Linked DNA regions of Kluyveromyces lactis. The protein of the gene in region 2 purifies or fractionates together with the protein of the main gene of each other region. This does not show direct contact. Links are inferred from orthologs where the notes say so. Each region holds a gene or a part of one and is shown on either strand. Other genes may lie near its edges.

What was found.
Region 1: the proteins of HTZ1 (region 2) and KAP114 purify together in Saccharomyces cerevisiae (affinity purification with mass spectrometry; 5 studies listed by BioGRID, with this or other methods). This does not show direct contact. The link is inferred for Kluyveromyces lactis from reciprocal best matches to the Saccharomyces cerevisiae genes HTZ1 and KAP114.

What each region holds. Positions count from the first base shown.
Region 1 is NC_006037.1:74,835-79,262, forward strand, and holds KAP114 (karyopherin KAP114), read left to right. Parts: upstream 1-1,515; coding exon 1,516-4,374; downstream 4,375-4,428. Other genes in the region: TAD1 (tRNA-specific adenosine deaminase), read left to right, coding at 1-495; ankyrin repeat-containing protein ANK1, read right to left, coding at 601-1,116. UniProt on the Saccharomyces cerevisiae protein: Required for nuclear protein import and mediates docking of import substrate to distinct nucleoporins. Serves a receptor for nuclear localization signals. Mediates the nuclear import of TATA-binding protein (TBP) and of histones H2A and H2B.
Region 2 is NC_006039.1:522,417-524,813, forward strand, and holds HTZ1 (histone H2AZ), read right to left. Parts: upstream 978-2,397; coding exon 579-977; downstream 1-578. Other genes in the region: KLLA0_C05896g (OPA3 family protein), read left to right, coding at 1-134; PLB3 (lysophospholipase), read left to right, coding at 2,352-2,397. UniProt on the Saccharomyces cerevisiae protein: Variant histone H2A which can replace H2A in some nucleosomes. Nucleosomes wrap and compact DNA into chromatin, limiting DNA accessibility to the cellular machineries which require DNA as a template.

The DNA of each region.
Region 1 (4,428 bases), on a different chromosome or scaffold from region 2:
GCTTTAACCTGGTCACTTCTGCAATCACCTGTATATTTAGAATGGATTGTTCTGCCAAAGCAGTACCAGTACGAGCAAGTACAGTTAGAAGATACATTTTGGTTAAGATTAAAGAATCAGCAATTCTTGCCCTTTAAGTTTTTATTTTGTAATGAGACTTTTTCTGCTGATCGAACCAACTTATCTCAACAACCTTCTTTGAGTTCTTGTGTATCGTTATATGGCTCGAACGAAGCAGTATCAGAGGTAATACTAAATGGGGTCAAAAATGGATTCTATGTCAAAGGCAAGAAACCACTTCGAAAAGGTTGCCAATCAATTATCAGTAGATGTGCACAGTGGTCTGCCTTCAAAAAGATAAAAGCCATGCCCTCTGATACGGATTACTATGGCTTCAAATCAAGCGTTGTTGATCGAAACCACATTATTTCCAAAGCGAAAGCCACGCTCTCTGCTAGTGGCTGGATATCAACCTGCAGAGATAATTGCATATGACAATCGCACCATGCAGTGTTTCGAAATCTGAAGTAGCTTAAAAGAATAACGTTTTTATCTGTTTCAACTTATAAAGAGAGACCAGGGAAACTATATAGATACGTACTAGTCATCTTCTGGGCCATCGTCGATCTCTTCTGCATCTTCTTCGTTAATTATTTTACCTTTGTTGTCCGCTGCAATTTCTGCACCTTGCAATAGATTTACCAAAGATTCCAATTCATCACTGTGAACCAGTTGCAGCGGAGTCTGCCCGCGTTTGTTTCTTATCCTTGGATCGGCACCAACTTCTATCAAGTTTTCAGCAATAAATGTACCATATTCTGGTTCATCGTGAGAGTAATTTACACATAAATGTAGTGCGGTATCGCCATCAATTGAATTTTGCTGGTTGACATCAACCCCCTCTTGATCCAATAGTACATCTAGAACATCCCACGATCCATACTTACTGCACAAATGGATGGCTGTGTTTCCCAAAGGGTCCTTAGAATCATTTATTAAAGACTGGATAGCCTGTTTATCACCATCCAATGTTTCAAGAACAGCATTCAACAAATCTGCGTTATTTCTTCTAGATGCATCAAGCAATTGTTCCTTTAATGATGCTCCCTCAGTCATGTTGTCCTATTTTATATCACTAGCAACCTTAATACTATCTAAGTTCACCAGGAATAAGTAATATATTTTTCAAGGTTCAGCAATGTGCAAATCAAATATGATAACAAGACGATAACACCTGCTATAATGATGAACTAATACGTATCTTGGTAGATTCTCCTCATATAATCGACCTTTAAATTTCATTGAGGTAATTGTCAACCTTCAATATTTCCAGCATTGAATTGAAACAGGAAAAAAAAAGACTGGGATATGCTCATCTCTTTACCAAATCCGAATAAATTATGAGTGTTAATGAAAAAATAATCCGAACAGCAACCTCTTATAACTCTACTATTAGTTTCAAGTTGCCGACAAAGCTGGTAAATACGCTAATTTCCATTACTGATTGATTGTCAGATGTCTATTCCTTATTTATTGGAAGGAATTCAGTCCCCACAGAAAGAAGAAAGAGAAGATGCAGAGAACAGTTTACTAGAACGTTGTGCTACAGATCCACCCGACACTTTTATCGAGTTGATTGATACAGCTACTAATAACAATGCTTCAGCCAGTACCAGGCAACTGGCTTTATTGTGTTTAAGAAAGTTCACTACTATGTATTGGTCCGCAGGTTTTCCCTCATTTGTTGGACCGCCAGGTGTGGGCGAACAAGGGAAAGATCTAGTAAGGCGAGGTCTTTTAAGTTTACTTGCAAACGAAGATACCGAGAAGAAGGTTATCTCTACTGTAACTTATTGCATTGTTCAGATTTGCGCTGTTGACTTCCCAGATGAATGGCCTGGATTGTTAGATTATTTGAATGAGAATATTCTAAATTATCATTCAGAAAATGCCATCAGCCTACTGACGGAACTTGTTCAAGATATTATTACAAATGAGATGTTTTTCGATAACCATTCGGGAGCCAAGATAGTAAATACGGTTTTGTTAGCATTAAATGACGATACTTTGCGTTTGCAAGCGAAATCGAAACTCTTACAACTATACCACCATTGCATATCTCAATTACGCAACGTTTCAATGTTTGTTACATCTGAGCTTATGAGCGAGTGGCTCATTCCTCACTTAAAAGCTATGAATGACTGCATCGATAAGTTATTAGAAAGCTATGGAAATAATATGGAATCTGAAGTAATTGGACTCAAAGGAGAACTGTTTATGGCATTAAGTAAATTATTCGACCTCAATCAGAGCATTTTGGGTTCTAATGGAGATTTATCATATAGACTACGAATAACTTTGGATGCTATCAAGTCAAATGCTAACAGCTATGCCAGAGCTCTCACAAATAACGACGAACTAAGGTTAGAGATAATTAACTCCAGTTGTATCAATACCGTCCAATATCTTGCATACATCCCATCAGATCTTATAGAAAATCCCACATTACCGGATTTCACAGAAGATTTCATCAAATTGTGTTTGCTTCCTGAAGACTACTTTAAACTGTCAGACTTCAATGAATTTATTTCTAAAGAAACTGGATTATCAGCTTCATATAATGCCAGAGATGAAATTGGCCAATATGTTTCAAGCTGCAGCGACGAGATATATCGTCACATCACTGATTCCGTATTGCAAAAATGCCTACAAGTCACTTCAAATGAGGCACAGTACCAAGAAGCGTGTCTATTCTTATTCCAAGAATTATGCTCCAACGAGACAAGCATGAATGTTCCAAGATATCAGGATTTCTTATCTTTGGCCGTGATGATTCTAGATGATGATGCCTGTCCTACATTTGTGAAATCAAGAACTATATTAACAATACCCAAGTTCTTCGAGAATAACATGGAAACTTTACCTGAAATCAAACAGTTAGTGCAACAATTCCTTGTGAAGACAGTTAATTGTACAATTTCAGCTGAAGACGACTTTCTTTTGGCATCGTTAGTCATATCATTCACTTATTACACCTCATTCGCTGAACTTGGCAGTATTCTTGATTACCAAACGTCTATGATTTTGCAACAGTCGTTGCTAAAGGCAATTAAAACTCTTTATGTTGATAGTGAAGAAGATTCTCTTGGTCTTCTTCTTGAAGCAATGCACGAAATTGTCAAAACTTGGCATTTCCAACAGGATCTTCATACTAAACAAGAAATTTTGAACTTGCTTTTGAAGTTATCCTCAAGTGAACCATCCAATGTGAGAATAGTCTTTGAATCTGTCCGGTCACTTCCTTATCTCTTGAGAGATATCAATTGTACAGATTACACTAGACTTTGTGAAAGCTGTTTCCCAAGTTTTATAGAAGCTATGTCAACGTTCTTACAAAGCCAACAAACTTATTCACCACTGGTTGTCCTTGCACTAGAATTTCTCTCAGTATTTCTGAAGAATCCACCGGTGGGAAACCATATTTCTGATGAAGTGGCTGAATACGTTCTCAACCCAATTGTGCAGTTTATCAAACAGTGTCCTGATGAAAACATCGCCGAGACTGCCTTGCAGGCTTTTGTTTATTTGGCTTGTAATTCTAATCCTAAGTTCTGGAAAGATTCAATGTTCGACTTATGCTCTTTAGTATTTGATCCTGAGAGGTCACTTTATAAAACCATTGATGTTGCTCCTATAATGTTGCTTTCACTAAGAGTTACACAGCCACATGAAAACAGATTTATAGGGCAGATTATGGAGTATACAATCTCCAAGTTAGTGGACCCTAATAAACTGCATCCAGTCGACAGTTTTATAATAATATCCTGTGAGGTTATCTTAAAAGATATTCAAAGTTTCCTTGCATATATCTTCTCAATACCTATTTCTGCGGAAGAATCAATACCTAATAAGTTAATCCGTGAGTTATTTGATTGCTTTGAAGAAAACCGCAGCAAAAATATGTTGAAGGAAGTGGCATTATCACTATCTGAACTCTTTTTTTCTAACGACCAGAGGCTTACTCGGTCTTCATATCATGATGAATCTGATGGCGTGGTAAGACCTTTTAAAGAGTATATTGTAAAGATGTTTGCGGATGAATTGACAAGACAAACTGATATTGAAGAAGAAGAAGAAGAAGAAGAAGAAGAAGAAAACGACATAACCCCCAAAGATTATGAAGAGGACTACGTGTCACAACTAAATGATGATGTGGTATTACTTACTGGTCGTGTTATCGATATGGAACTCAAAGAAATATTAGTGCAGTTTTTCAAAAGTACACAGCAGTCGAATGACAACTCATTGGGTAGAGTTCTGAAGAACTTGGATGAACAAGAACGCCTGAAAATATTATCCGCTCTATTCGAATGATTCTTAAAGTAATATGAGATGAATATCCTACTGTTTTCTTCGTTCATTAGGCTT
Region 2 (2,397 bases):
ATATTGCTTTTTTACAATCGGAAATCGAAGAACTGAGATCAACGACTAAGACCCAAAGCGACCAAATAAAATCATGTCAAAGTCTTAAGGAAGAACTAAAATTAATTCAGTCAAAACTCTCCTCACATAAATGAAAATACAAAAAGGATATTGGACCACCGATATTCTAACGGAACAAACTTGTATATAGTCCTATTCTGGAATGAATAAGTATTTGAGTATAGACGTAAACACAAGCTCTAATATTAACAGGTCATGAGTAAAAGTAGGAATTGGATTATAGATGTTACATATACATAACTGTTTAATAAAAATATGGAAATGGAATAGATGAGGGTTAAATTGCACTTTTGATATTTTGAGATAAGATAATGCGGTGAATTAGTAGTGTACCATCACGACAAGGGAAAAGAGAGGGGGGGGAAGTGGAGATGAAAATATACAACCCTTCACCCTGGGATATGATTACAGTTAGAGTCAAAAAGTAGAAGAAATATAATAATGAAATAACAATAGAGAGCTGTTTTTAAGCGCTTAGTCTCATTAAACTTCATTCAAATTGATACAATTTTCACGCTTCATTTATGCTTCTTTTCCACTTTCAACAACAAAGCCTTGTTGATATGAGGTAGAACACCACCAGAAGCGATAGTGGCTCTGATCAAGGAGTCTAATTCATCATCACCTCTGATAGCAAGTTGTAAATGTCTTGGGGTAATTCTCTTCACCTTCAAATCTTTAGCAGCGTTACCAGCCAATTCCAAAACTTCAGCAGTCAAATACTCAAGAACAGCAGTCAAGTAAATAGCAGCCTTGGACCCAACACGGGTTCTTCCAGCAGCATTTCTCTTCAAATAACGCTTCACTCTCCCAACCGGAAACTGAAGACCAGCTCTAGCAGAATGTGATTGTGATTTCAATGAACCACTGTCTTTGGCTCCCGACTTACCCTTTCCACCGTGTACTTTTCCTGACATGTTGTTTCTCCTATAATAACTTTAATATGCTCTTTCTTGCAATGTCTGATCGTATATATCTCAAACTTGAAAGCAAACAGCAGATTCTATCTTTTCTTAGTCCCTCTGGTCCAATATTCAACTTATGTGAAGTTAAGTTAAGTTAAGTTGATATCGATTTGTTTTTGTTTGTTTTGATGTTTATTTTTTATTTTTATTTTTCTGTCTGAAAGTTTCGTGTTTCCTCTCTTACTTTCATATTGTGAGATTTGCTACAAGTAATAAGATTTGGGGTAAGGGCTAGGAAGAACCGGGAGGGACGAAGGTATTTGAAATAATGAAGATATACAGGCATCGACATGTCTGGAGTTGTCAAAGGTGAACATACGGTTTGATTGGTCTAGCTTTGAAGTGCAGTTTGCCGCTTTCTTGATTTTTTTTTTTTTGCCGCCTGCTATTCTACCGGTTGTTTTTTTTTTCCTTTTCCCTCAGACGAGACAGCATGGCAGGGTAACTATTTATGAACTCGAGATGCTTGCAACCTTGTACCCTTAAAGAGCGTAGGAGCCACTGATGGATTTAAGAAACGTTCCGGCTCATTTCGAAGAACATATGGTAGTGGTGTTACTGCAATGATGGTATTTTCACTGTGTGTCCCCTTTAATTTTAAATGAGGGCCGGAATTCGTTTTTCGAATGGAATAGTAAAAGGGCTTTAAAGTGAATGCTTGACAACTGAGCATTTTCAGTTAGACTAATGTTCCAATTTTTGTACGTGCATCCGAAAATTTGTCTGTATTGCCAGCCTCTTTTACCTCCTTTCCTCCAACTAATAGGGGCTTCATGCAGCGTCTATTATAGGGGGAAGGGCATTTACTTAACAAAATTTTTGGAAACCCTTTGATAATAATGCACTTGTACCATTTCTTAGGTGCGTCGTTACTATGGTAATACATAGATTGTATTTTCCGTGCGTTTTTTTAGACATTTTTTTGCGGGCATGCGTGATGAATTCTAACTATAACAATCCTACACACTTTGCGTGAAGAAAAGTGGAAAATATAGAAGTTTAAATGCTCAGCTAATATTTTGTCATAAATCAATAAACTATGGAACCTGGTGAATATATAACAATGCTACCGTTTCTCTCATCTACATCTTGAGTCCTAACTCGACCCAATTAAGTTGATTTCCAAGTCCATAACTTAAAGCAGTTAAACAATCAGCTTTTACGATAGAAAGTCCACACTCGGTAAAATCAAACGATTATTTTATTGAATCTTTTGGAGTGTGTCACTTCTGTACATAGTATTATCGTGAAGGGCGCAGACATCAACTCTGAGTTAGGTTATCTATAGAATTGTTCCGAGTTAAAGATTAGTTTATTCCTTTTCTGATGTGGTTTTTGAACTCAGTTAATCTGTTGTTTCTGGTATGTTCGG